Linked DNA regions of Callithrix jacchus. The protein of the gene in region 3 binds, or shares a complex with, the protein of the main gene of each other region. Links are inferred from orthologs where the notes say so. Each region holds a gene or a part of one and is shown on either strand. Other genes may lie near its edges.

The links.
Region 1: the proteins of SUMO3 (region 3) and USPL1 are in contact, whole or in part, in a crystal structure (PDB 7ZJU), measured with the Homo sapiens proteins. The link is inferred for Callithrix jacchus from reciprocal best matches to the Homo sapiens genes SUMO3 and USPL1. Residues at the interface, in NP_008867.2 of Homo sapiens: Gln24, Asp25, Gly26, Ser27, Val28, Arg58, Arg60, Gly63, Gln64, Pro65, Ile66, Asn67, Asp70, Leu75, Phe86, Gln87, Gln89, Thr90, Gly91; in NP_005791.3 of Homo sapiens: Ala234, Cys236, Trp237, Pro321, Gln322, Leu323, Arg324, Met330, Glu331, Ser332, Val334, Phe335, Leu339, Tyr368, Thr378, Thr380, His393, Phe394, Gly395, Pro396, Asn398, Arg407, His421, Val423, Tyr451, Asn454, Asn455, His456, Phe457, His493.
Region 2: the proteins of SUMO3 (region 3) and SENP1 are in contact, whole or in part, in a crystal structure (PDB 6NNQ), measured with the Homo sapiens proteins. The link is inferred for Callithrix jacchus from reciprocal best matches to the Homo sapiens genes SUMO3 and SENP1. Residues at the interface, in NP_008867.2 of Homo sapiens: Gln24, Ser53, Arg55, Gln56, Arg58, Arg60, Asp62, Gly63, Pro65, Asn67, Thr69, Asp70, Gln74, Glu76, Asp84, Phe86, Gln87, Gln88, Gln89, Thr90, Gly91, Gly92; in NP_001254523.1 of Homo sapiens: Gln440, Asp441, Glu446, Arg449, Leu450, Thr451, Lys455, Trp465, Leu466, Asn467, Asp468, Glu469, Asn494, Thr495, Phe496, Lys500, Arg511, Trp512, Lys514, Lys515, His529, Gly531, Val532, His533, Trp534, Gln597, Gly600, Ser601, Asp602, Cys603.

What each region holds. Positions count from the first base shown.
Region 1 is NC_133506.1:149,819,261-149,829,225, forward strand, and holds the start of USPL1 (SUMO-specific isopeptidase USPL1), read left to right. Parts: upstream 1-4,089; 5' UTR 4,090-4,222; intron 4,223-7,529; 5' UTR 7,530-7,598; coding exon 7,599-7,697; intron 7,698-8,216; coding exon 8,217-8,345; intron 8,346-9,965. UniProt on the Homo sapiens protein: SUMO-specific isopeptidase involved in protein desumoylation. Specifically binds SUMO proteins with a higher affinity for SUMO2 and SUMO3 which it cleaves more efficiently. Also able to process full-length SUMO proteins to their mature forms.
Region 2 is NC_133510.1:2,418,266-2,428,173, forward strand, and holds the start of SENP1 (sentrin-specific protease 1), read right to left. Parts: upstream 6,785-9,908; 5' UTR 6,602-6,784; exon of another isoform or gene 6,378-6,601; intron 6,359-6,377; exon of another isoform or gene 5,659-6,358; coding exon of another isoform or gene 5,650-5,658; exon of another isoform or gene 5,490-5,649; intron 1,572-5,489; 5' UTR 1,528-1,571; coding exon 1,524-1,527; intron 1-1,523. Other genes in the region: PFKM (ATP-dependent 6-phosphofructokinase, muscle type), read left to right, coding at 5,650-5,658, 8,054-8,144, 8,811-8,921. UniProt on the Homo sapiens protein: Protease that catalyzes two essential functions in the SUMO pathway.
Region 3 is NC_133522.1:50,470,006-50,479,816, forward strand, and holds the start of SUMO3 (small ubiquitin-related modifier 3), read right to left. Parts: upstream 5,561-9,811; 5' UTR 5,467-5,560; coding exon 5,446-5,466; intron 868-5,445; coding exon 739-867; intron 1-738. UniProt on the Homo sapiens protein: Ubiquitin-like protein which can be covalently attached to target lysines either as a monomer or as a lysine-linked polymer. Does not seem to be involved in protein degradation and may function as an antagonist of ubiquitin in the degradation process.

The DNA.
Region 1 (9,965 bases), on a different chromosome or scaffold from region 3:
TTATCTCATATGCTTGCTTTAGAGTCAAATAGGTTGTTGACTCCACTATACCATACTGGCATATCTTCATGCCATAAGTCAAAGCACGGGACCCAGCTGTGCCATTGGCTAGAGCACAAATATATGCACACATGTGAGATTGATGTACATAGAAAGTTATTCATTGCACAATGCTCTTTAATAAAGATCTGGAAAAAAACACCTAAATGTTCAAAAGATAGGGTTGATGAAATAATGGTACATTATAAAATGGAATATTATGCAGCCATAAACATAAGGAAATATCTTGCATAATAACAGAACAACTTTTAAGGCACGTGAACAAAAAAGGTACATAATCAATATGCATGATATGTACCACTTATATAGAAAAAGGGAAAAAACATTATATATATTTATTTGCTCATACATGTATAACATTTTTTCTGAAAAATATGCCAGAAACTGGTAGTGCTGGTTGCTTCCTAGGCAGAGAATGAGATGGCTGAGGAACAGATGTGGAAGAAAAGACTTCACAGAGTATCCTTTTATACCTTTTGAATTTTGAACCATGTGAATGAATGTGTTAGCTATGAACAAAATGACAAGTTTAGATCAGCAAGACAGCAGTTTGAGATGAAATGGGATCATATCCTTAGTAGGAAAAACTTTTAAAAATAGGCGGTACTCCTAACAGTAAATATCTGCATATGGAATGTTGAAACTGTAAGGAACTTTCCATAAGAGATCCATCTGAGCGCGGTGGCTCATGCCTGTAAGCCCAGCACTTTGAAAGGCCAAGGTGGGCAGATCACGAGGTCAGGAGATCCAGACCATCCTGGCCAACATGGTGAAATCCCGTCGCTACTAAAAATACAAAAATTAGCTGGGCATGGTGATGTGTGCCTGTAATCCCAGCTACTCGGGAGGCTGAGGCAGGAGAATCACTTGAACCCAGGAGGTGGAGGCTGCAGTGAGCCATGATCACGCCACCGCACTCCAGCCTGGCAACAGAGCTAGACTCCGCCTCCAAAAAAAAAAAAAAAAAAAAAGAGATTCATCTATTCCAAACTTCTCATTTTATAAATCTGTAAACCGAGACCTTAAAAACTCAGTGACTTATGTAAGGTCACATAGCAGAAGACATGGGATCAACTTTATTCCCATTTTCTCATTTTCTATCGGCAAAACAGCCAAGTTTGGACTACATTACAAGTTGTCATGTTTCATCTAAATTTTAAAGCCTAAAGTATAAACTAACCTTAAGCCCTCAAACTATTAATTTCTTGTTTGGCTCACTATATGGCTACACTTACAAATAAGCTGTACATACCTTTTTCATTGCATGTATACAATATGATAGATGCACGATATGACAGACACACAATATGATACATGTATTTTTTCTATCCTAATAAATCTGAATTTACTGAAAGAACTAAAATATCTTTAGTTACTTTAATTTTTTAAAATATGTACGTGTGTTGCCAAAAACATTAATACAGGTTTACAATTCCTTAACTAAAACCAAAGGGTTGGATGTGTTTTAGAAATAATAATTTCATACAGTTTTTAAATGTAACAAGGTACACAAACCATTATATAACACCCCACATAGCGGGGGCCAAGGGCAGCACCCCATAATCAAACATACTAATAGAGTTTCAGCAAAACACATGGGATAAAGACTATATACAGTTTCTCAAAAGTTCAGGTCATATTTTGCTATCAAATGACTTTTGTTGCTAAGCTTAAGAAGTTTTAGGTTTTCAGCGCTTTCTGAATGTTAAATTGAGATGTGGGATGTATTCATAAGGGTGCTTCTAGAAAGTAAAGTCAGTCACTTCGACTCTCATCTTTTTGATAAGACTAGAAAAAGAAATCATAGCAAGCAGCTTTTATATCCCAGGTTTGGGCCAAACACTTGTATAGTGGTTAAGGGTGCAAGAGGTGACATCATGAGTGGCCAAAATGGGGGTGGGGGGAGAAAATCCTAAATGTACAGCACTGAACTATTGCAGCTGTTCGTTAGTTATTAATTTAATAAAAGCGTCTTCCTTTAAATCATGAGTTTTTAACTGGAAATAGGTCAATAAAATTTCTGTCCCACATCGCTGACAAGGGGAGGGAGGCAATGAGCGAGCAAACCCTCTGGAAGGTACTGCACTCTCTCTAGGACCAGGGTACACAGACAAAAGCATTTCAAATATATAGAAATAAGCAGAAATATATACAGTATTTTCAAGTTGGGACGGTTACTCTCTAATATAAACGAAAGGGGTTTTCTAGTCCATCTCTGCGGATCTCCTATATCAAAGTTCTTCCCTTTATCTTAAAAGTCTTGTACTACCTTTTACAAGGGGAAAAAGCTCTGGAGATAGAACAAATTAAAATCCCTTCCTTTCTCTTTACAACTCAAGCGCCACCTCCATTTTGTTACTAATAATTTTTTTCTGAAAAAAAAATCAAATTTACACTGAGACTAAAATTCAACTTGGCAGACAACGTTTTTGCAACAATGTTTTAAAAATATAATTCAGTTTCGTGATGTGGTTTTGCAGTCTTACAATTTTAGCTACATTTTAACTGAACCAATTGTTTTCAATTTATAAGTTCATATTTAGCAAGTTTTTTTTTTTTTTTTTTACAAATAGTGTATTTCATTCTAAAAATGGAAATAGCACTGGTGAGCAAGAAAACAACCCTCTGAATTCTGGCTATTTTGAGGAGGAAATACTACTTTCTCAAATTTTAATCACAATACATAAAAAAAAAAAAAAAACTAGCTAGACCTTAAATACACAAACACATTAATAATCTAGTTTAATAAAAACAACAGAAAAAGGTAAACAAACTAACCAGCCTATTTTTGTCTGGAGAAAGCCCAACAAACTCTGTTGGATTCCTTGGCCATTTGCATTCAGAAGTACCAAAAACTAAAATCATTTTTACTAAAGAATTTATTCTACACGATACTTGTTTCCTCCATACCACGGTATCCAAATGATCAGCATTATTCCAGAACACAATCATTTAGTTTTAGACCACTAAAAACCCCACAGTTCAAAATGCCAGTTGTGGTTAGTCTGCAAAGAAACAGAAAGTACAAATTGTTATCCTAAGGCACAGAACCAATCGACCAAAAGGACTTCTGGAATATGCTGCCCCCAAGATTTAGAATGCACACGCAGAAATAGCACAAGCGGTCACGATGTCCCTTAAGCCACATGACCTTCCTACGAAAGCAGAGGCTTAAACTTATCAAATGAGAACTCCCCCTTTCTCTGAAGTTAAAACAAGGCAGGGCAGCTGGAATTAGTGCAGCAGGGACAGATCGGCTGCTGACTAGTCAGAACGGGTCGTGGAATGCAAAGTCCCTGTGCTTTCGCTGCTCCCCTTACCGTGAGAAGATCTGGGAGGGAGGAAGGGAGGAGAAACACCCCAGAATCCTGGTAGAAAAGCCCCTGGCTCGAAGGTGGGCTCTAGGGAGACAGGGAGGGGCACCTCCGTGTGTGATGACCCTTTGTGAACATGCACTCTGTGGCAGCTTTGGCTCCACCGAGGCTTTGGGAGAGCGGACTACGGATGCCCAGGGCGGCCGCGCTGTGAAAGCCGCGCCGGCGGAGAGCCTCCATGGCAGTACCGCCGGCTTCGGGAGCCCTTCCCTCTCCCACCTCCGCGGGTCACTCCAGGGCCCGGCGGTTCCCGACCACGCTCTCGCGGACCAGGAACCAGCGGAGCGTAAGCAGGTCTTTTTCCTTAGCGTAATCCCTCCGCAGCGGCCGCGCACTAGTTTTAATCACGCCCCACCCCCGGCCGCTGGCGCCACCTCCGCCACTCGAGCGCTTTCCAGCAGCTTCCAGAAACGTCGCCTCCCCAAACCCAGCCACTCACACATGGCGGGCTGAGCAGTCACCGGCCCCGCCCCTACTTGTCGCCGCAGTCGCAACTGCGTCTGCGGCCGCAGGGCAGGCAGCCACGCCTCTGCGGAAAGCGACCGGAAGTGCTTCCGTCTTCACTTTCCCCACCACGCCGCAGTCCTTTTAGGCCCTGCGTGCAGCAGGAAGGGGGACTCTCTTGCCGCGGACTCAAGCCGGAAGCCACCTTCCTAGTGGAGACGCGAGTGGGGGAGGAGCAGTCCGAGTGGAACGTGGGTTGAACGTTGCAACTAGGTGGTGTGGAGATCAAGCTGGAACAGGAGTTCCGAACGACCCGGTACGAAGAAGGGGAGTGCCCATGGCAGGTACGGGAAAAGAGGGAGAGGTTCCTTTTCCCTCTCGAAATAGGGAAAAGAGACAGAGCTGGGATGACCTATGGGGTAGTCGGCGCGCTGAAAGGCTGGTCTGGGCTCGGACGGGGTTCAAGTGGGAAAGGTTGATGATTAAGGTACAGAGTTGGACTTACAGATCCGTTTGGGCGCAGAGAGGTGAACGCTGAAGAGAAACCAGAGTTTGTTTTTGTTTTCCAAGGAGCGTGGAGATGAGCAGGGTTAACGGACTGTGCGCCTCCTTAGGCTTCTTAGGTTGGGTCGAAACTCACCTCTTTTGGTCCTGTTCGTCTCTGATTGAAGACGTTTGGGTTTGGTACCAGACAGGGCTCGGTGCGGAAAGCCGACCCTATTCCTCGGCTTCCAGGTCGGTTTGGCCTCGCTTTTGACAGTTCACGTGCCGAGCCTACTAGCTCTCGGAGGGCAAGCTCAGATGGGTGGGTGTGAGGCCCCCTCTTCTAACAGCTGTTTCCCTGGTTTCTCCATTTTGCACACAGGAATGTGAATTAAGTTTAATTGCATACCTTTTGCGATTCCCAGGGCCAGCTTGATACGTTCATTGTGCTGTAACTGGGTTCATGCTGGGCTAATAATTCACATTAAGGATTCTGGAGTATAAGTGGCTCATAAAAGTATGAAAAGGGGATGTTAGGAGAAAGATGTTGGGGGTGAAGTAGAGTTGAAGATAAAACTGGAAAGCTTGGTTGGTTTCACAGTACGAGTTTAGGTCATAGTACTGCCTTTAGGTTATATTGGGCTGTTTGGACTGACTTTGCTGTAATCAGGCTGGAGTAAATAGAGAATTTTAAGCTGATCATTGACAGGCTCAGACTTATCTTATAGGGGCACCATTTTGACAGTAAGATGGAAGGGAAAGAGGTGGGGATCTGAGACCTTTCCAAACAATTGTCAACAGAGTTTTGTGTGACTTACTGTGTGAAGAGGGAAATAAAGAATATGGAACAACTCAGACTTTATAGTCTGTGTGTTTCGAAGGATGGAGATGCCCACATTTAAGTGAGATATGGAAAGGAGGAGGAGATTGCTTTTGAATGGAGAAAGAGCGGTTACTTAGGGTCAGATTAAGTTGTAAAATCCACCCCAGCATTTTGTATGTAAGTCAAAGTGAATTGTATTTGAAAGAAGACCTGGTGAGCTCACCTCTGGTATTTTTTTTTTTTATGTCCCCCATATGGACAAATTTTCTTTTGGGGGATTCTATATATTCAGGATTTCAACCACCAACCTATCTGTTTTTCCCATTGAAATGTTGGGTGATGGAATTCAGAGAGCAGATTTGGAAGCTTTTTATCTTTTATAATTGAGAGAGACAATGAGAAAACCGTTTGACTTGAAAAAGTTTTCTAAGTTCCCTCAGGTAGATGGAAATTTTCATCAAAAACAGTTTATTCAAGGTACATAGCCTACTAGTTTCCCTTTTGAGAGTCCAGCAGAATGCTGCAAGTTGTACTGCTTTTTCTCTATGCAGAATGAAGTATAAAATTAGTACCAAATAGTAGGCTTAATTTGTCAGGTGCTAAGCCTTTTACGTGCTTTATATCATCTAATTCTTAGAAGAAACCAATTTTACAGGTAAGTTTCTGGACCAAGATCCGAAGGTACACAGCTTGCAAAGCAGGGACCATGGAAGTTTGACTCCCACCTAGTTCCCTGCTGTTGTTATTGTTGCTGTTGTTATTGTTGTTTTTGAGATGGAGTCTTGCTCTGTCACCCAGGATGGAGTGCAATGGCATGATCTTGGCTCACTGCAATTTCCACCTTCTGGGTTCAAGCAATTCTCCTGCCTTAGCCTCCCAAGTAGCTGGGATTACAGGCGCCTGTCACCATGCCCTCCTAATTTTTTGCATTTTTAGTAGAGGTAAGGTCTCAAACTCCTGACCATGTGATCTGCCTACTTCGGCCTTCCAAAGTGCTGGGATTACAGATGGTCAGACCTGTCCTCTAGCTCCCTTTTGTAAGTAAATTAGAAATAGAACCAGCCAAAGGTAGTAAGTTGAGCCTAAAAAGAAAGAAAAAAGCACCAGTAGTTCTCACCAGAAGGGGTGATTTTTGCCTACCAGGGGACATTTGGCAAGTCGGGAAACATTTTTGGCTATTGGATCTAGGGAGTAAAGGTCAGTGATGCTGCTAAGCATCCTTCAGTGCATAGGACAGCCTTCACAAATAATTATTTGGTCAAAGCTATCTGTCCTGCTGCAGTTGAGAAACCCTATCTTAGGGTTATTTCTTCAGGAACAGGAAATTGAGATTCACTGATACTGACTTTTTCAAAAAAGCGATTTTATTTTTGAAATTATTCCTTGGCTTGAAAGGTTTGTGAAGTTTATATAGCTGAACCAAAATAGAATAATTAGTTTTTAAAGTGAATTGTGAGCCATCGATTCCTAGGAGATAGTTGTCATAGAATCACGGATTCTTGGATTTGGGAAAGACTTATGCCTAGAATCATCTTACAACCTTTCTGCTAAGTGGTAATTCGCCTCTGCCCTAAAGGTCCTCTGTATTTCATTTCCCTATGATTGTAAGCCCACAATTAAACTACTCTTAATTAATTTTTGCTTACACTGAGCTCCAGTGTCTCATAATTTTGACTATTAAATGTGGTTCTATGACATGGGACTACACTCGAAACAAGTTGGCCACATGTGTGATTTGTACTAGGACAGTGTTTATATTTTTGTTTTGATAATAACAAAATAAGTTAAATGTGGTGTAAATTAGGTCATTTAAAATAATGTGTTAGCAGCTTTTAATAAGTAGTATTGTAGTATTTTTCCCAGCTGGTAAAGTATTCATGTTCTTGGTAGTTGAAAACAATAGGAATGTGGTTCATTGGTTCTTTTGTCCCTGTCAAATAATGGCACAATGGATCTGGGGTTTTTTAAGTACTTTCTCAGTATAATGCTGGCATATTTGTTTCAAATTGTACATAGACTCTAAAAAGTGAGGTTTTCAAATTCTGGTCAATATAGTGTGCTTTAAATAGTAGCTACCTCTACTACAAGTTTTATTTAATTTGTTCGCAAATGAATCTGCTATGAAAACTGGTCCTGTTGCCAGTCACTACCCTCTGTCCACAAACTTGCTAGGTTTATAAATACGGGTATCATTTTCACATCAAGATTTTACTTTTAGAATATGTTTATTCTAGGACATGTAGCCCTGAAAATCTGCTTAACATATGCGTCTTATAAAATAGCATGGTTCTTTTTTATAGTAAATAGAATTTTTATTTAATTGTCTATTAACTTTTTTTTTCCAGGGTTCATTGAAAAAAATCCTTAGTGATATTGACATGTTTCAAGTGACATAAATTAGCCAATGACTCGGAATGATGGATTCCTCGAAGATTGGAAATGGTTTGCCAGTGATTGGACCAGGGGCTGATATAGGGGTATCTTCACTCCACATGGTGGGGTATTTGGGAAAAGTTAGTGAACTTATTTTTTGCCTGAGTGCAAAGTTTTTTTTCTCTATTTTTGAGACTTAAATTCAGTTTTGATGTTACCAGTTAACTTCTAAAAAATTGTATCTTCCACGGAAATCTTACAGTAATGGCGAAAGATTGTTTTAATGTGTTTTACCTCTCTGTCTTTTATTGATATATGAAAGTAGAAATGAAACATAGACCTTATGATTTTCTGCTCTTTGAAAATATGGAACGTAAGTTCTCCCTGGCAGTTGATGTTACTTTTTTTCTTGCAAATAAAATTGATGCTATTCTTAACACTCAAAACTTAATATTTAAAACTATAACAATTCTTTTTGGAATATTAGCTGTATTTAAAGGCTTATATACATTTCTTTTATTTGCCATGTTTAAAATATCTTGCCAGGATACTTATAATTGAAAATTATATTTTTTTCTGATTACCTTTCCATTTAACTTTTAATATTTTGATATGTTCTAAGAATGTCTATATTTTAATTTGCTTTATTTCTCTTTTAGAATTACGATTCAGCTGAAGTTCCATCAGATGGGTATTGCCCTGCTTGTAGAAAGAAGGGAAAGTTAAAAGCCTTAAAGACTTATCGAATTAGTTTTCAAGAATCTGTCTTTCTATGTGAGGATCTGCAGGTAAACTATTAATCTTTTATAGTATATAGTTTTAGCCTTTTGTTTTTTCTTAATTGTTTTAAAATTTTACTCATTTTTTCTTTTTTAGACTAGATTTTTAATATGTAATCTCAGTTTCTAAGCCTGTCTGGTATACAATTTGAAATGTATGTTATTTTTTCACCTACTTTTCCTGATTGCATAACAATGTTTGTTTTCATTGCCATTTGACTTGTAAGAGGAAGAAATACATTTCAAGATTTTTGTTTCTTTTTTTTTTACCTTGTGGAGGTCCTTGTTGGCCATTAGCATATTGTCATTCTCTGTCATCTCTTTGGTTTGCCTTTGGAACTGATGGGAAAAGTTATGAATCTCTAATGTACCTGGAAGAGTATTTTGGAAATTGGTTAGTCCAAAATCAATATATATGCTCTGAAATAAATAGATCATAGGGGGGAACGATCCAAGATGGCTGATCGCTAACATCTCAGGATTGCAGCTCTCAGTGAAAGCGCAGAGAACTAGAGGACGCCACACTTTCAGACATATTCTGGTCGCTCACGGAGCAGAAGATCCCCAGTGGAGGAGTCACACCGGTCGCCAGCGCGACTCATGTGGCCGGCACAGCGGTTTTGCTGGCACCTCGGCGCAGCAGCTCTCGGAGCAGAGTAAACGGGGCTGGCTCCCCTTCTGACCGAGGTTTGGAGGACCCACACGGGTCCCCAGCACGACTCCGGAGGCCGGTGCAGTGGCTGTGACGGCACCTCGGTGAGGCAGCTCTCGGCGCTGAGTAAACGAGACTGGTTCCCCTTCTGACCGAGGTTTGGAGCCCCGGGAAGGCAGAGTCGCCTATTACGGACACAAGAAGGAAGCCAGACAGGAGAATCCTGGGCAGAAAAGCACCATCAGTCTTAACGCTGCTGTTCTGGCCCTGGGAACTAACAACTTGGACGTCCACTCAAGAGACGTAAGCTGAAAGTTGGTAATTTCAAAGACGACAGGAGGATAAATTTACAATGATGGGAAGAAACCACCATAAAAAGGCTGAAAATACTCAAAATCAGAACGCCTCTCTCTCTAAAGATGATCACAGTTCCACATCAACAATGCAACAAGGCTTGATGGAGAACGAGCGCATCCCAATAACAGAATCACGCTTCAGGGAATGGATAATAAGAAACTTCTGTGAATTAAAAGAACATGTTGTAGCCCAATGTAAAGAAACTAAGAACTTTGAAAAAAGGTTTGATGAAATCCTATTGAGAATAGACAACTTAGAGAGGAATATAAGTGAATTAATGGAACTAAAGAGTACAATACAGGAACTCGGAGAAGTATGCACAGGTTTAAACACTCAAATTGTTCAAGCAGAAGAAAGGATATCAGAGGTCAAAGTCCAACTTAATGAAATAAAACAAGAAGACAAGATTAGAGAAAAAAGGATAAAAAGGAATGAGCAAAGTCTCCAAGAAATGTGGGACTATGTGAAAAGACCAAATTTACGTTTGATAGGTGTACCTGAATGCGACGGAGAGAATGAATTCAAGCTGGAAAATACCCTTCAGGATATTATTCAGGAAAATTTTCCTAAACTAGCAAAGCAGGTCAATATTCAACCCCAGGTAATACAGAGAACACCAC
Region 2 (9,908 bases), on a different chromosome or scaffold from region 3:
CGTTTGAGCCCAGGAAGCGGAGGCTGGAGTGAGCCGAACCTCTGCACTCAAGCCTAGGCAAGAGAGTGAGATTCTGTCTCAAAAATAATAATCATCATCCACCTGAAAACTTTTTAAAAAGCATAATTTTATTCATATTGCTCTTAACAGCTATCAGCTCAATAACTATAACATTATGGCGCAATCTTACTTTAGAATCATTTTTGATAACTTTGCTAGCTAAAATAGAAATAATAAGGGTAGCAACTCAATGACTTACACTGATATCAGCAATGAGAGAAAATAGAAGCAAATGAACAGGGAAGGAGAAGGCAGACTAAGGAAAAGGAAAACACAGAATAGAGAACGCTAATGTGAATGTAAAAGGAACATGTGAGATGCTATAAGATCTAAGTGTATAGATTTTTCAACTTATTCCTAAATTGGCTACTAGTCCTCACCTTATAGTGGTCCCCTTTAGAGACATAAAGTACTATAAATGACATACTGAAAAATGTTCTACTCACAATTAATTCTCAGTAACACTAGCTAAATGAAATAGAATACTTACATTAATCAAATTATTTATCATTCAGAAGTCAGTATAACATTGTACTAGGCTGGGCGTGTCAGCTCACACCTGCAATCCAAGCACTTTGGAGGCCAAGGTGGGCAGATCACCTGAGGTTGGGAGTTCAAGACCAGCCTGACCAACCCGGTAAAACCCCGTCTTAATAAAAATAAAAAAAACAAAACAAAACAAAAAAACATAGTACTAAAGAACAAGAACTCTTAGTTGGGCATGATGGCTCACCCCTGTAATCCCAGCACTGTGGGAGGCCAAGGCAGGCAGATCATGTGAGGTCAGGAGTTTGAGACCAGCCTGGCCAACATGGTGAAACCTCATCACTACTGAAAATACAAAAATTAACCTGACACATTGGCACATGGCTGTAATCCTAGCTACTTGGGAGGCTGAGGCAGGGGGACTGCTTGAAACCAGGAGGCAGAGGTTACAGTGAGCTGAAATTGTACCACTATACTCCAGCCTGGTTGACAGAGTAAGACTCCATCTCAAGAAAAAAAAAAAAGAACAGGAACCCTGAAACCAGAGTGCCTAGGTTTAAATCCTGGCTCTGCCAGTTATAGTACACGACTCTAGGCAGGCTTCTTAACTCTGTCTCAGTTTCCTTATTGATATAATAGGGATACAAGTATCCTTGTAAGATGGTTGTGAGGATTAAATGGACTAATATATTTTAAATACTTAGAACAGGGTCTAGTACATAGCAGATGTTTGTTTGGGTATATTTGGCTTTTTCAATACAATCATTGAGATAATACTCCTAAATGAGTACATAAACGATGTTCTAACCAGAAGATAATTGTATTTGGTATACAGTATCACATAATTAGGATCAAGATCTCTCACAAAATTATTATTAAGCACAAAGATAAAAATACTGAAAATGTTAGGAAAACCCATTCTTTCACTCCAGCTTAACCAATAAGAGTAGCTAACAGGATTCAACAACTAGTCTTACCCATTTCAAGTCTTTTCACATCACTGACTTTAGCAAAGATACAAAGTCCTATAAAAGAAGACAAAAACAGAAAAATTACACACTGAAACACTTCACTTAATTTTAGAGGGTGCAGCCAGTAGAAGTAACATTTGTGTTCTTTTTTTTTTCTTTTTCTTTTTTTCTGGTTTCCAATGTTTGTGTTCTTAGCGGAGAAAAATCTAAGGTGCAAAAAAAAAAAAAGAAAAGAAAAATCTAAGGTGCAAAGAGTTGACTTGATGGAAAAACTAAAACTAGCTTGAGGTACTTCCAAACATTTCTGCAACCTGTGCTAAATTAAACAGCAATTACAGACTACCCACGGAATCACAGATTATTAAAGCAAGAAGCAAGTTGGGAGAGCCAACCCTTAAGAGACTGGGCGGTTTGCATAAAGTCACAATGTTAGCAACTACATTGAAATTACAACCTAGAAATTCTTCCCAATCCATTGTTCTATTACCTCACGCTAAATCACTTCATAAACAAGTGAGAGACTTTGTGATGGTCCTATTGAGACTTTTCTTACTCAGTGACTTGATACCTAATGACAATCAAGGACTGCTTTGCAGTAGTACAAAGTACTTCCCCTCAATCATCAATCAAACTGCTACAAACCGAAGCTCCTTTGCCTATATAAAAATTACTGTTTCCTCTGATGTATCCACTTTTTCCACAAAATAAAGATGTTAAAACCAAACTGCTGGCCAGGCATGGTGGCTCACGCTTGTAATCCCAACACTTTGGGAGGCCAAGGAGGGCGGATCACTTGAGGTCAGGAGTTCAAGGCCAGCCTGGCCAACACAGTGAAATCATCTACTAAAAATACAAAAATTAGCCAGGTGTGGTGGTGAGCACCTGTAGTACCAGCTACTCAGAAGGCTGAGACAGGAGAATTGCTTGAATCCGGGAAGCAGAGGTTGCAGTGAGCCGAGATACCACCACTGCACTCCAGCCTGGGCAACAGAATGAAGGGTCTCCAAAACAAAAACCAAACTATTTGGAACTAGGTTAATAAACATATCTCTAGCACATATGGTCTTCGGAGATTTCCAAGAGGAGGAAGACACTAGGGATGATAATAGTCACACCTATATATATTTATAATCTTATAACCATATTTTTTAAAATATCAAGCACTACACTACATCAACTACATAGCAATCCTAGGGCTTCAATGTATTCATGAGACTGGATGACGATAATAGGCATTCTTTGTGGTCACAGTAATGAAACTCACAGAGAGAAAGGCTGCTTAAAGTTCTCTTGGCATAGCTATAGACTAAGTAGAGTAATTATCTGATTACCTCCTCTTACCAGGGAGGAGCCCTAAAGAATTTAAGCCTTAGATTTAGGCTTCAAATATATTTTCAAATGCTCAACTTAAAAGGCTTCTTTATCTAAAAATTCTTTAGGTATTCTTTCTCCTTCCTTCTTCTTTAACAGAGTAGAATCCCCCGGGTTCCAGATTAAGGGGGTTAAGGGGGAAAAAATCATATCAACCAATATATTAGCAACACTTTTTTTTTGACATTTTACTCTTTAAGGTTGCTTTGTCATCGCTAGCCTTTTTTTTTTAAATATTAAGAAGAAGGCCGGGCGCGGTGGCTCATGACTGTAATCCCAGCACTTTGGGAGGCCAAGGCGGGTGGATCACGAGGTCAAGAGATCGAGACCATTCTGGTCAATGTGGTGAAACCCCGTCTCTACTAAAAATACAAAAAATTAGCTGGGCATGGTGGCGCGTGCCTGTAATCCCAGCTACTCAGGAGGCTGAGGCAGGAGAATTGCCTGAACCCAGGAGGTGGAGGTTGCGGTGAGCCGAGATCGCGCCATTGCACTCCAGCCTGGGTAACAAGGGTGAAACTCCCTCTCAAAAAAAAAAAAAATATTAAGAAGAATACCAATTTGAAAGCCTGGTGCCCAACAGAATAATCCCACGTTAATCTCCCTGCATTTTGTTGAGACAGATGTGAAAAGAAAAGGAAGCTAGAAATTCAAAGAATTCTACAGATTATATCCAGAGAGGTTAAGTGACTTGCCTGAAATCACAAAGATGGGGCAAAAAGAATATAAGAATCCATGTATCCTGACTCCAGGGAAAGTGCACATTTCAAACATCGTACAACTTCAAATCCTTCAACACAGCCTCAAAGATTCATACACACTGGCAATCCAAAAGTAATCCCTCACTAACCCTGGGGAATCCACACTGATTTTTGATTTTAAATAAAGCCCCACATTTATATTTTAATACAAATACATCCAGCTTCTTCAGTGTGCTTATGGTACATTCCTTTCGCCACCTGCAGTTACACTGGGAGAAGGAATATTTTACCCCAAGATTCTCCATGAAAATGTTGAATCTGGAACCTCTGATGCCACTAAATTCCTGCAACTGAAAAATCTTTTCTTTTAAAAAAAAAGTATCCTAATAATTCACTTCCTCGTACACACTGGTCATTTGATTTCCTGGAAGAACATAAGCAGTTACAGTCATTCAGATGAAGTCGGGTTAGTAGCTGAACACAAGGTGAAGGGAAATCTGAAAGAACAAAAAAGATCAGGCTTGACAACTGCGGTGACACATTTACAGTCTTACACACATGCAAAGGGGATTATAAAAGACAATGTTCAGGGCTGAAATGAAGTTACTAGAAAATATATATTGAGCTAATGTTAGCTTTATCCAAGACCAAGATGTGGTGAGCAGAATTTATGACATGAGAAGGGTATGAAAGCAATCACGTGAAATCACCCTTTTCCAAGTTCTGAAAAAGTTATGTGTACAACAGTTGTACTGTATCATCATGTGCTTGAGGTTATTTCTTCCCCTCTATCTTTACATGTAATCTCTCCCAATCAGACTCTAACACCTTAAACACCTTAACACTCTAACACAGTAAACCCTAAGTATTCAAATTTTTTCATACATATTCATTTACTGTGCACCAACTACGTGCAGGGTGCTGGGAATACAAAAATGATTAAGAGAGCGTCCCTGCCACTGAGAAGCTCACTGTCTAGTAGGGAAAGCCAGATCCGTAAACAGATACAGCAAGACAGCAGAGCTAGTACGATTGATAGAAGAAGAAGTTCGGAAGAAAAAGACAGATTTCCAAAGGCGTAGTCAACAACTGCATGCCCTTAGCCAGAAGTAGCAGAACCTGTTTTTGCATCCATCTACTCCCTCCAGACAGCTCGTTAGATGAGTGATACGAAGACCGTCTTTGCAACTGGGGTAATGAATTGAAGTCAGTTAAAAATGAATAAGCCTGGGCTGGGCGCGGTGGCTCAAGCCTGTAATCCCAGCACTTTGGGAGGCCGAGGCGGGTGGATCACGAGGTCAAGAGATCGAGACCATCCTGGTCAACACGGTGAAACCCCGTCTCCACTAAAAATACAAAAAATTAGCTGGGCATGGTGGCGCGTGCCTGTAATCCCAGCTACTCAGGAGGCTGAGGCAAGAGAATTGCCTGAACACAGGAGGCGGAGGTTGCGGTGAGCCGAGATGGCGCCATTGCACTGCAGCCTGGGTAACGAGAGCGAAACTTTGTCTCAAAAAAAAAAAAGAAAAAAAAGAATAAGACTTCCTAAAAGGTACTAAAGAAGAAAAATAAAGGGGGCGGGTGGGGGGTTGTAGAGTGGAAGTAGGTTAAGGGATCATCCTTAAAGAGATGATTAAAGTTTCAGTGTAACTGTAATTTCAAAGTCAGGGTAATCTGTATTTCAACACGAGTTGAAACACAAATTATTTTTATGAACGATAAAGATTTAGGAGACGATGTGCTCTAATCCGTCCAGAATAACCCATTACAACAAAGACCCTCAGTGAAATCGTTGGTAGTAGATAAAAGGCTTTATGTGAATATTACAAGAATCACCACCACTCCAAGTATAATGTGTACCAAAGACGAAGTAAAATGACTTTAACGAGGCTGACTTGACAGTGATAAAGGAGCAAGTGATGCCAGCCAGATAGTGGAAATACTGCACAGACACCGATAAACAGAAATCCCCAAGCTCGAGGGAAGGGAAACGAGGCGCATATCCAGGACCACGTTCGGGTGCACCCAGGGGGCCGGTTCCAGGGAATTACCCGGAGGCGATGAGCCAGGTAAGCCACTGGGGCCGTGAAGGGGATCTTCATAACCTGAGCAGGAGGGTCCGGCCGTGTCTTTCTGCTGGTGGCACCAGCGGTAGCACCGCTCAGGGAGACACCACAGAGCAAGAGAGTTGGAGAAATGTTTACGTGGGGCGCAGGGGGAGTCCGGAAATACCACTCAGGTCTCAAGGAAGGCGGGAGGTGAAGCCGGCAGCGTAGACGGCCGAGCTTCCCGGGGAAAGCAGCTCTCCCTACGCAAGACCCTGCTCTGGCGGGAAAGCCCCGGAATCCCAACCGGCCTTTTCCCACAAGTACGGCAGGGCGCGGGGATGGGCCTGTTGTAACGGCTGGGAGACGGCCTCTCCGCGGCCCGGGAGAGAGGACCGCAAGGAAGGGCCTCAGGTAGCCTAACGGCCACCGGCGGCCACCGCACGGCCACCGGACAGCAGGGGGGAGGGGAGGTGGTCCCAGGGGGCGGGGCAGAGGTAAAGGCGCCGGCCCCACAGTGCTCCTCGCTTCCGCCCAGTCCAGTCCGGGCCGGCGGACCGGGTCCGACACAGCCTCCTGGCCCAGGTTCCCTCCATCCTCACCCCTCCCCCAGCTTCCCGCCGCCACTCACCGAACCGGAACCGGCTGCCATGCGAAGGGGTTTCCGGCCGGGCGCGGAACGCAAAACCCGGGAACCGCCGCGAACCGGAACCGCCTTCACAGCACCGGAAGAGCCGTTCGGTGGCTGCGGAGGAAGGGGGTTGGGGCAGGAGGTCAAAGAGCAGAGCTAAGGACCAGTGGGACGCCTGCGCGGTGTGGCAAGTCCCCAGAAGTCAAGGGAGCATTTAAGACGAGTCGTAATTTCTCAGTTCCCTTTTCAGTCTGGGCCTTTTCGCTTTCTCGCGCCCGGAATACTGTTAGTGAGCCCTTCGTCCTATGCTTTTCTCTGTTCCCTCAGCTCCCTTACCCGCCTCCTTCTGGTTCCGCTCGGCGAGTTTTGCTTGCGTTCCAGTTTCTATGGCAGCTTTTCGCTGCGGCCCCAGATCTGCGGAAACCCGTGGCTTCCCCCGACAGATGGAGACCTGAGATCTAAATCGATGTCAGGCTATCTCGTGTGCTGTTGAGAATCACAGAACGTTAGCGCTTGTACAGGTTATTGGAGATAGTTTATGGTCTTAACCGGGTTCAGAGAAGTGATTTCCCAAGGGTTTTAAATGCATGTCGCATCTAAGACTCGGAAGCAAGTTTCTTAACTGGCAGTTCTGCTCTGCACCACCTCATGCTTGATGGACCAGCATACAAAAAAGAGAAAGCTGCTTGGGGACGGATGAGGTTAGGCTCTGGCAAGATGTAGAACCTTCCAGAACTCTGGAGGGATTTGAAACATAGGCAGGGCTGTGAGGAAAGCTACTGGGAGTCCACCAGAGATCTGCTTTTCTGGGTAGAGATAGGGAAGGAACCAGGAATCACCTGTGACCTCTGAAGGGCTTGGTTGTTCCTAGGTCTCATTGATTAACCTGAAATCTGCCATACTTTCTAAAAGAAAATAATGGGAAGAAGTCAGTCACGGTGGTTCACATCTGTAATCCCAGCACTTTGGGAGGCTGAGGCGGGCAAATCATGAGGTCAAGGGTTCAAGACCAGCCTGACCAACGTGGTGAAACCCGGTCTCTACTAAAAAATACAAAAATTAGCTAGGCGTGATGGCGCACGTCTGTAGTCCCAGCTACTTGGGAGGCTGAGGCAGGAGAATTGCCTGAACCCAGGAGGTGGAGTTGCAGTGAGCCGAGATTGCGCCACTTCACTCCAGCCTGGCGACAGATCACGACTCTGTCTCCAAAAAAAAAAAAAAAAAAATACGGAACTTAGCCGGGCTTGGTGGCACGCACCTGTATTCCCAGCTACTTGGGAGGCTGAGGCAGGAGAATTGCTAGAACCCGGGAGACGGAGGTTGCGGTGAGCCGAGAATGCCCATTGCACTCCAGCCTGTGCAACAGAACGAGACAACGTCTCAAAAATAAAAAATAAAAAGAATGAGAAGAAATATGTTTGCTCATTCAGACTGTTTGTCAAACACCTCAGCTTGGCAGGCCTCTGGACCCAGGTCCTGTAGAAGTCTCAGAGAAATCCCCCCTCAGTAGGTCCTTTACACTCATACCACAGCCACAGGCACAGTCTGAGCTCAGGCTTGAAGAAGGGCAGTTTCTGGAGGCCCATGCCTTTCTAATACTCTTAGCAGCTTGCTGAGTTCCTGCCCTATCAAATATCTCAAAGTACATTGTGTCGCCCCATATGTTGATACTTACGTATTGTCAAGTCCTGAGGCCTAGTAGCATTAAGCATAGCTGTTCCATGTCAGTCACTGACATCTTATTCCACAACTCTGTTCATTTGGATTAAACTCTGTCTCTCTTTCTAGGAGACAGCCATGCATAAAGACGAGTTTCATCTGAAATTTTTCATGTGTGTGATTCAGTCTCGCCAATTAGTCAGGACTCGTCAGAGAACAGGTACCAACGTCTCCTGATCATACTCTAGTGAGAGAATGGGTTCTCTCACAAGAAGTCTCAATACAGGTTGTGAGGCTTTCTAATGTAAATATGGATTTTAGGAGTCAGCTGACCTTGTTTATCACATTCTCACTTTGATAAAATATTGATCACTAAGTCATGTCTTTTCCATGTGTAAGTATAGGTAAGATTTTGGCCTAGTTTGTTGTGTTAGATGCCAGGCAGATAAGGAGGACTTGAGAGTTGACGGGGAACAAAATTGATCCCATTAGCTGGTCATTGATTTCTGTGTTGTTTTGTAAATTACTTTAACAACATTCTCACAGATTAGTGTGGGCTAATCTGTGAGAATCTTTATTGTCATTATAACTGACACTCCGAAACTATAAGATAAAACAAGTCCAAAGGAAAAATGGCCTTCTTATCCACCCCACCTCAAAGCATCTAGTTATATGTTCTGCTTTTCCGCCATTTATATCAAGGGAATAGAATATTTTTGAGGTAAGAGAGTTGTTGAGAACAGTCATCACTTCTCTGATTTTTTCACTGGATTTTTGGAAAGAAAGCCCTGGAGAACTGAGAGTCATAGGGAAAATGAAAGAGAGTAAGGAACACTCCCTTCCCTGCAACTCACCTTGAGAGTGACCTAAAGCTATTGCTTCTCAGCTGGGGAAGCTTCAACTTCCAGCACATTCATACCAAAGACAGATACCTTGAAGAGTCTAGACACTACGGATGATCCAGACACCGTGGGAAGCATACCTATTTTTAAAACTGGTGAGGCGTGTGGGTAAACAAGGGAGAGAAATGTGGAAAGGAATATGGGAAAGTGAAAGTTGTATACATAGTATTATAAATCAAGGTAAATCTACCAAAGCTGAAATATAAGTTAAGACCCAGGAGGGAAAGTCTCTGTGTATGTGAAACAGAGAGAGAGAAAGAGGGATGGGGAGGGAAAGGAAGAAGTGAGAGAGTTAGGGATCCTTTGGGAAACAGTGGACACTTCTCTCTATGAAGAATAACTTAATTTTGTCAATATTTAATCAATTGGCTCGTAACTGTAAACTACCATTCCGGTTTATTCTATTGTCAGCATCCTTGGTATATAAAATATGAAACTTAAAAAAATTGACTAAATGAGTTGTGATTTTACAAAATGATTCTAAATATTGTAAAAAATTTTTCATCTTAGGAAACATTTAATAGGTTTCTCATGTATGCTCTAAGTAATGTTTAATTCACAAGCAATTTATGTGACGCTTCAGAAACACATCTGTAAGTTTCTTTTCAACTTAAATACATCTATATTGGAGTCCATTTACTGCAAAACTTTATTGAGTTCCCACTATTTGCCCAGTATTAGAAATGATAGGTTATAAAACATATGTATAAGACATATCCTCGCCATTGCCACAAGAGCTTGCTGTTTGGAAATGTCTTACACATTATTTAGCTCAACTCCCTTGTATTTTCAGGACTAAAAGGTTTTCCTCAAAAAGTTAATAATTTCATTAAAGTAACAACTCCCGACACTTATGAAATATATATATATATAGTATTTAGCCATATTTTTGAGCACTTGTATTTGAAATTGTTGGGACTGGACTCCATAGGAAATGAGAAAATGAACTAGACACTTTTGCTGTTCCCCAGGAGCTTATGATTAAGGAGGATTAGAGAATATGGAATAATGTGTAACTTAAGAACTTAATAACTTTGGTTCAAAATGTTGAATTGGTTCAAAATAAGATGCCATAGAGATGT
Region 3 (9,811 bases):
AAAGGCACCTGGCTGCAGGGCCAGACCCCCAACACTCCAGGCAGCAGCCAGCAGGCAAAGCCCATAGGAGTGGCCTGGAGAGGGACCCCCTGGCCCAGGGCGAGTCCTCCGAGCACTACCAAGAATGACTGACACGCACACACATACCAAGTCCACAATCACACAGCAACCAGAAGGCGTCCGCCCAGCAGGGCACTGCCAGTGAGGCAGCTCATTATCCTGAAACTGGAGAAGGAGGAGAAAGAATCACACACTTTCTTTCCTTTCCTAACAAAAGGGAAAACCACACTGCAGATGAGGGCACTGTTTCTCCCGGGCTACTCCAGCTCATATGCAAGGACAAGGTGACAGTGCCATGGGGCACACGCCACCTGCAGCTGCAGAAAGGCCAGCCCCGGGCAGGGCTCCCAACAGCCTTCAGCATCACAGACTTCACAGATGTCAGTGCCCCATGAAGAACACAGCCCCCAGGAAGCCGCCTTGTCAGGAAGAAAACCCCACTGCACTCATCTGAGCCTCCAGGGCCCCCCGCCACATAAAAGGCCGTGGGGGCACAGTCAGCAAGCCCAGCCTGGGCCAAGTTTACAACACAAGCACCCGCCCACCCGCCTGTCCGTGAGGAGGGCGCCTCGAGCAGCTGCAGCTGGGTCCAGCCCCGACACTCATGTTCCCGGGATGCCTGGAACCCACGGGACCTGCACACACGCGGGAAGCCGTGCGGGGGGCCGAGGCGCGCACCTGCCTCTCGCAGTAGGCCTTCATCAGCTTGCTCAGCGGTGTGTGCCTCTTGATCTTGAACTGCACCACGGAGCCGTCCTGCCCGGCCACCTTCAGGTTGATGTGGTCGTTCTCTGTCTTCACGCCCTCCTGCAGGGGACACCAGAGACTGGCCTCAAAACTGTGTCTCAAAATAACCGCGACTTTGCAGGGCAGGTCCTTAGGTGACCATCAGCTCTTTGAAGTCCTTAAAGACAACCTAGTTCTTAAAACTGTCCAGGAGTCGGAATCACTCATGTGATTGTCTCATTTTTACACGGAATTGATTTTTAACTTCCACTTGTTAAGCATCTGTGGGTAAAACAATGCGAATCTACAGTCCTCTAACATGGTTAATTCAAAGAAAACCCGTTTAATAAAGCTAGGGAAAAATCAGAGAAGATCCATCTTTATTTTAAAGTGATTCTTGTGGGCTGGGCACAGTGGCTCACACCCATCAACCCAGCACTCTGGGAGGCTGACGTGGGAGGATGGCTTGGGCCCAGGAGTTTGAGACCAGCCTGGGCAACACAGCAAGACCCCATCTCTTTTTTAAAAAATTATTCTTATGAAAGCAGTAAAAAGACATATCCACAAGTCACTACAGCTATTCAGCACTAGTAAAAGAAACCAAAACAGAACAAAACATTTGCGACTCAGAGGGACCCTGTGGGTCATTAAAGTGGTGACCTCAGGAATGCAATTGAGGAGAGCCGCTTCCCACGGCGGGCAGCCAGGCTCCTTCTCACTGCCCTGTCATTGGCAAATGTGAAGGGAGCCATCTCCGAGTACTTTCTGGTTTCAAACTGTCCCATCTGAGAGCAGCGGGTAGCATTTTATTTTTTAATTCATGCCATGCTTGAAGCTGCTCAGCAAGGCACAATCAGCGTGTCTTGTTGCCTGGAAATGCATTTTCAGTTGAGGCAAGAAGCCGATGTCAACAGATTGGGAGCCAACTTCGGGGCAGCTCAGTCTGAGCAGCAAAGTGGGACACCCCTCAGGCTGCCTGCACTGCTGGGTGAAGCCGTCTGAGTGAAGCGACGGGGCATCTGAACGTCAAGTCTGGAGCACCCTGGTACCTTCTCACCCTACGCGGAGGTGCTCCCAGAGGGAGCACTGTACATTCCTGGAGACCCTTGGGGAGGTATGGTGCTCTCTGTCAAGGGAGCAAGAGTGGCCTGTGAGGGGCCCTGGCAGTGAGGGGCTCCAGCCACAAGCCTGAAGATGTATATTCTGAGGTGGCACTCACCCCCCAACTCCAGTCTTGGACCAGGCATCCCTGCCCACTCCAGGGAGGACACTGGCTTCGCAGCAGCTTGAGTGGTGAGCTGGCACACCCCCATCCCCCCACCCCCTCACCCCCAATGTGGCCTCCAGCACAGAAAAAACTGGCCCAGGAAGTGAGGGCATGCAGACCACTCCGGGCAGGATGTTAGTGGGGACCCCTGCATGAACCCCCTTCACTTCCCCAAGCATGAGGACTCACTGGTTTCTTTAGGGAAGGAAGATATGGGTGTGTTCAAAGGCACAGATGCAGGACCCAGACCTGCCCACACCGGGCAATGGCTGCGGCCCCGGGAGAGGCTGGGGCAGGGCAGGGCCAGCCACAGCACCTCTGCCCCATTAACAGCCAGATGCCAGGAATGAACAGTCTGTTCCAGATCCCTGGTGAATTCCTAATAAACAAATGAACTCGTGAGTTAAAAAATGAAGCCCTGGGCCGGGCGCAGTGGCTCACGCCTGTAATCCCAGCACTTTGGGAGGCCGAGGCGGGCAGATCACAAGGTCAAGAGATAGAGACCATCCTGGCCAACATGGTGAAAACCCGTCTCTACTAAAAATACGAAAATTAGCCGGGCATGCTGGCAGCTGCCTGTAGTCCCAGCTACTCGGGAGGCTGAGGCAGGATATCACTTGAACCCGGGAGGTGGAGGTTGCAGTGAGCTGAGATTGCGCCACTGTACTCCAGCCTGGCAACAGAGCCAGACTCCGTCTCAAAAAAAAAGAAGCCCTAAAAACATGGACCCCAGTTCACTACAGGCAATCCTCTGCCTCAGCTATTCGGGGAAGTCAGAACTATTCTCCACCTGACCCAAAAGCTCTTCTTCCCAGCACCACTGGGTCCCAGGGTCCACTTCTTCCCCTTCCTCAGAGGCCCAGGGCAGAGCTGCTCCCACACACACGAAGGGGACCCACCACAAGTGGGTCCGGTGAGGTGGCAGCCATCAGTCATTCCGGAACTGAACAAGTATTTTCAACGGAATTGGACCCTGAAGTTGAGCACGTGGCAGAGCTAGGTTTAAACACTGCTGAGAAAATGGGTCTCATAGGTTCTTCATTTACTCTTCGCTAAGAGGAAGCTACCTACAAAAACACAACAGACACTTATCCTTGGCCTAGTTTTTTTGCTTTTTGTTTTTTGGAGTCTGAGTTTCACTGTCACCCAGGCTGGAGTGCAGTGGTGCGATCTTGGCTCACTGCAACCTCTCCCGCCCTGGTTCAAGAGATCCTCCTGCCTCAGCCTCCCAAGTAGCTGGGACTACAGGAGTGTGCCAATACGCCTGGTTAACTTTTTGTATTTTTAGTAGAGACAGGGTTTCATCATGTTGGCCAGGCTGGTCTCAAACTGCTGACCTCAGGTGATCCACCTGTATATCTGGCCTAGTTTTAACAAGTATTTAAATATTCCAACAACCCCAGGGGTGGAAGAAGTTTGAGTTCACTGAAGTCAAACTGTAAAAAGCAAAGGTCACTCCAAACACTGGATAGAGGTTTCCCTGGAGTTTCACTACACAGCAAGTGGAGTGCAGCCTTCCAGAGAGACCCCGCCCGTGGTTCCAGGAGCTTCAATCCCAGTTCCCACTAGTGTCTAGCACTGAACCTCCACGCTCACTTGTAAACGGAGGGTGGTCACCTCCAGGACCAGGCCAGTATCAGAGACAGCCTCCTTACAGAGTCTTCAGCTCTAGTCATCTTCCACTGGGATATGACACCATCTTCCACTTGGTCGACAGTGCACACCAAGGGCTTCAGAAGTTTCTCTTTCTTTTTTTGAGACGGAGTTTCGCTGTTGTTACCCACACTGGAGTGCAATGGCAGGATCTCGGCTCACTGCAACCTCCGCCTTCTGGGTTCAAGCAATTCTCCTGCCTCAGCCTCCCAAGTAGCTGGGACTACGGGTGCGCACCACCATGCCCAGCCAAGTTTTGTATTTTTAGTAAAGATGGGGTTTCACCTCGTTGACCAGGATGGTCTCAATCTCTTGACTTCGTGATCCACCCGCCTCCGCCTCCCAAAGTGCTGGGATTATAGGCCACCGCGCCCGGCCTAAGTTTCTCTTTTTTTTTTAGGCTAGTCAAGTAGTTTCTGTTTTTTTAATCCTGGTCAACATGACTACAGACCCTCCCAAAGACAGGCCAGTGCACCTTAGTGAAGGGTGCACACCCCAGGACTGAGACAGGATTGCATACTCCAGTGTGGCAATCGAGGAAACTAAAACACACCCAAGGCTGGCTAAGGAGGGGTGGGCATGCATAGGGGATGGGCGCAGACAGGGGTGGGGGTGGGGTTGGGAAGGGTGGACGCACACTGGGGAACCCGATGGGGAAGGGTGGGTACACAACGGGAGGTGCGATGGGGAGGGGGTGGGCGCACACGAAGGGGGATACGATGGGGAGGGGTGGGTGCACACTAGGGAACGAGGTGAAAGGGGTGGGCGCACACGGGCGCACATGGTGGAGTGGGTGGGTACACACGGGGAGGGATGGGTGCATACTGGGGACACGATTGGGGAGTCTCGAAGAGAGGTGGGCACACACCGGGGATGCGATGTGGAGGGGTGGGCGCACACGGGGAAGGGGGGTCGCGAAGGGGAGGATGGGTACACTGGGGGCACGATTGGGGATCGCGAAGGAGAGGGGTGAGCACACACGGGGACACGATGTGGAGAAATGGGTGAATACCAGGCGCGCGATGGGCACCCTGAAAGGATGGCAGAGCTGTTCACAGGGGCCAAGCCCCTCAGAGCACGCCCCTCCGGGGTAACCCCGGACGCTAATCCCAGAGCCAACCCGTGCGCTCAACATGCGACCCTCCCAGGGCGATGCGGCGGGAGAGGGCGACGCCACCGGGCAATGACTCAAGAGAAGGCCACGCAAAGACGCCTCAGGGGCACCGCCGGGGCGAGATCGGAGGGCGCCGCGCTGGGCAGAAGCAGCGCGGGGCCCACACCCGGCGCAAGACCTGCCGCTTCCCGGCCGGGGAGGGGCGGGGCGTGGAGCAAGGGCGTGGCCAGGCCCGGCGGGGGCGGAACTGGAGGCACAGAGCGCTTCGGGGCGGGGCGCGCCTTAGGCGGTTCCACTTCGGGGCGGGACACTACAAGGGGTGGGGAGCGGGGCGGAGCCTGGCTATGGGAGGAGAGAAGGGGCGGAGTCTTGTTGGGGGCGGAGCCGGGCTGGAGGCGGGGCGCGCCGCCGAGCGCCGCCGGGCGGGGGAGGGGAGCGGCGAGCCGGGCGGAGCGGGGGAGGGGAGGGAAGAGAAGGGACGGGAGCGCAGGCGGCGCCGCCGGCCTGGGCGCGGGTCCCCGAGGTCGCCGCGGTTTCCTCGGGCCGACGGGGAGCGGCGCGCGTCGGCGGACGCGCCCAAGACGCCCGCGATGGCCGCGCGTGCAGACGGGGGCGCCGCGCTTACCTTGGGCTTCTCCTCGGACATGGCTGCTCGGGCGGCGCGGGCAGGCGGCGCGGGGGAAGCAGCGCGGAGCGGGCGAGTCACGCTCACGGCCCCGCCGCTCTCCCGCCGCAACTGCGCGCGGGGCCGCGCTTTATCCCCCAAATCCCGGCGCGCTCGTTGGCCGGCGGGGGGTCACGTGTCTGCGCGCGTGCACGAGGCGCGCTCCCTGGGGCGTCGGGCGCGCGCTGGCCTGGCCGCGGCTCCCGGCGCTTGGAGATGCGTCACGGGGCGGGTCCGGCGCGACCCCGGCGGGCTCAGACGGCCTAGGGCACTGGGGTGCGCGGGCCAGAGGCGCGTGCGGGGAGCCCGGGCCCTGGGGACCCCTGCCTGCCTCCCCTCCCGCGCCCTGGCCCCGACTCCTTTTCTGGGGACAGCGTTCCTGGGGTGCGGGAAGTGAGGCCGGGCCGCAGCCCGTGAGGCGGAGGAGGGAGGCCCCTGGGGGCGACGTTCCCTCTCGGGAGCCGCGGACGGAGCGGACAAGGCGCCCGCGGGGTCCCGGCCGCCGAGGCCGCGCGAATCAGGCCCGCACCCGGGACGGTTGGGGGCGCCACGCGGCTCCTTGCAGCGGCAGCTTCCTGTCCGTTGTCAGCCCGGGCCGGGCTCCCTCGGCCGCCGCTCCCACCGGGCTGTGCCGGGCCCTCAAACCCGTCCTCAGGAAGACCCGTTTTACCTACGAGGAAACTGAGGCACTGGGCGGCCCAACCATCCCCAGGTCAGCGCTGGTGAGCAGCGCCGAGCGCGGGCAAACCCAGGCTGGACGCCGCCGGTGCCGGCGGAACGGGGGCTCGCGGATGCGGGAAACGCGCTGGAGCGCGGGGCCGGCAGGGCCTCCCCGGACTTGCGGCGCCATTCCTGGGGTGCCCGGCCCTCCCCGCCTCCGAGTCTGTGATCCCAGGTTCTCGGATGGAATGCGCGTGAGGGCGGGCACCCCTGCGTCCCTCGGCAGTGCCAGGGCGGTGCCATCCGGGCATGGCGGAGGCGGGGGAGCCGGACCCCGCAGGCTCAGCCGGGAAAGGGCAGGACCTGGATTTGAACCTAAGCCTCTGAGCCGGGGACGGCCCAGCCAACCGAGCGCGGTCGCAAAGCCAGGGGACAAATCTTAGCGGACCGTAACTTCCACTCTTAAGAATTGGCTTTCTTGGCTAGAGCCCCCACTGAGGAGCGGGAAGGCCGGGGAGGTCTCTCGGTGAGAGGGTCGGACGGTCAGCCCAGGTCCCAGGGTGTGGTCCCATCTTTCTGGAACCTGGAACCCAAGGCCTCGCAGAGGATGCGGAGGTGGGCGGCCGGCTTAGGCTGTCTTGGGAGGGGGACCCCTGCAACCAGCCCCTTGCGAGGGGAAGCGGGGCTCAGAGCCCCTAGATTGCTGGTGGGGAGAGTCGCAGGGCAGGCCGACTCCGAGACACTGTTGATCCTAAAACATAAGACCACACGGTAGCACGGACATTAGATTCCCACGGGCTGTGGATAAGGCAGCCCGCTTCATGTTGTGGACGTGAGAAACACGCAGCTTAGAACTGATGACACGTGGAGCCCAGGTGTGTTACCACTCGCGGTTAAGCCAGGTGCATTCCTCTGACAAAAAGCCGTGTCACGAATATCAAGGATGCTCAGATGACATTCAGTTTTCAAGAGCAGGCTAAAAGATGATGGTGGTCCGAATCAAGTCATGCTGTGTCTGCGAAGAAAGAACGCTGCTCCCACACTCTGACCTGCCCCAAATCCTTCCTGTGACCACAAAGATGCAAAAAGGCTCCACTGAGCTGCGGGGACACAAAGGGCACTGCTGGTAGACCAAACACCAACAGGTTTCTGAAGGACACAGCCAAAGGGGATCGAATGGACCAGAGAAACCAGAGCTCAGGAAAAACCAGGGCCTACCATGAGCACAGGGTCCAGATCCGAGACTGCCAGAGCCCGTCCTCAGTGTCGCCAACACCTGGTGATGGTCCCAAGAAGACTTACAAGAAGGCAGGAGCTGGGAAATGAGTAAGAGGATTGCTGACGTGAAAGCTCAACCCGTGTGCTGACTAGGAGAGGGGTCCTGGCTGAGGACACAACTGCCAAAGTCACAGGACTCTCCCATGACAGAGAACTAAAGAGAGGGAAGGTGGGAAGCCAGGACACTGGGCCTCAGTACAGGAAGGGCTGTGTCCACCTGACAGGAGCTACAGAAGGAGAAGGTGGAAAAAAGGAAGGCAGGACAAAAATCAAAGGATTGAAGAAAGTATCTCTGAGGCCCAGTGCAGTGGTTCCTGCCTGTAATGCCAGCACTTTGACAGACTGAGGCAGGTGTATTTCCTGACGTCAGGAGTTCGAGACCAGCCTGAGCAACATGGTGACGACCCGTCTCTACTAAAAATACAAAAATTAGCCAGGTGTGGTGATGCATGCCTTTAATCCTGGCTATTTGGGAGGCTGAGGCTGGAGAATCGCTTGAACTCAGGAGAGGCTGCAGTGAGTCGAGATCACACCACTGCACTCCAGCCTGGGCAGAAGGACGAGACCTTGTTTTAAACAAAAGAAAATAAAATTCTCTGAACTAAAGAAATATTTGACTCTATAAATGGAAAGGACCCCTGAGTATTGAATGGCTGAGAGAAGACAGACACTGAGATGGGTGGTGTGAGGAGAAATGCCTGAAGCATTCAGAGAAGTTTTTCCTTACAGTTAGGAAGGACTGGTTGCCTCAGACAAACCCAAGAAAAATAGCTCAAAAATCGGTATAAAATATTTTTAAATCTGTTTAAGTATATCGGATAGTTACAAAAACAAATTTTTCTCTGAGGGGCAAAGACCTCCCACCACCTCAGGAAAAAGGCAAGTTGTTTTTTGTTTTTTTTTTTTTCTTTGAGGCATTTGGTGATAAGTATCCTGTATTATTCAGCCCAGACTTTCATAAAAAAATACAAACCATGGATAGTTATTTCCCAGCCTCCAGGCAGTTCTGGAGACTGGAAGCCCAAAATCAGTGAGCCATCAGGGTTGGTGTCCAGTGAAGCCTCTCCTCCCAGCTCGTATGTGGCCACCTTGGCATGTTCTCACATGGCCTTTCCCCTGTGTGTGCAGATGGAGAGATCTCTGGTGTCTCTTCCTCCTCTTGCAAGGACACTGGTACTATGGGATTAGGGCCCCATCCTTACCACCTCCTTAAAGGTCCTATCTCCAGATGAAATGGGCTTCACTATGTGAATGCTGGAGGACACAATTCAGTCTCACATATGCACTGGGAAGAAGTTGACACTCTGAGTGAGCTTTTGAGTCTTACAGGGTTGGGGACGCAATAATTGGTGACGGCCCCCAAGATAGGCTCTGCTGAGTGACCCAGACCTTCAGCCGAGAGCACTGAGTGCTGCAGTAGGGGAGGAAGGCTGAGGGGTGACTGGATCATCCCTCTCAAAGTCTGAAATCAAGCTTCCAAAGGGCTCAATCCCAGACTCAACTGATCTGCCCTCTTTCCCAAGGCCAGCCTGAAGCAAAGGGAAATATACTGAGGAAAATAGCATCATCCAGGGCCTCAAACTAATGAAAATATTTCCATACACAATATCCGGATAAAGTTCACAAAGAAAACCAGAAGACAAATGATCCAAAGCCAAAATACATATAAGAAATAATCCCATGGAATTATTATGTCAACAGGATATTGACATTATCATACATAGACTTTAAAGGAATGTGATTAATATGTTCAAGAAAGTAGATTATGAGACGAAAATGTTCAGCAGAGAAGTGGGGTATATAAGAATCTAATGGAAATTTTCAAACAAAAAATATACTAGCTGAAGTTATAAATTCAGTGGATGTGTTTGAAACAGATTAGACACAGTGAAAGAGATAATTAATGAACTGAAAGATAGGTCAGAAGAAAATATTCAGAGTGGCCGCAGTGTAATCCTAGCACTTTGGGAGACCAAGGTGGGTGGATCACCTGAGGTCGGGAGTTTGAGACCAGCCTGGCCAATATGGCTAAACCCCATCTCTACTAAAAATACAAGAAATTAGCCAGTTCTAAAGCTCCCTTTTTTTTTTTTTTTTTTTTTTTTTGAGACAGAGTTTTGCTCTTGTTACCCAGGCTGGAGTGCAATGGCATGATCTCAGCTCACTGCAACCTCCGCCTTCTGGGTTCAAGCAATTCTCCTGCCTCTGCCTCTCGAGTAGCTGGGATTACAGGCACGTGCCACCATGCCCAGCTAATTTTTTTATTTTTAGTAGAGACGGGGTTTCACCATGTTGACCAGGATGGTCTCGATCTCTTGACCTCGTGATCCACCTGCCTCAGCCTCCCAAAGTGCTGGGATTACAGGCACGCACCACCATGCCCAGCTAA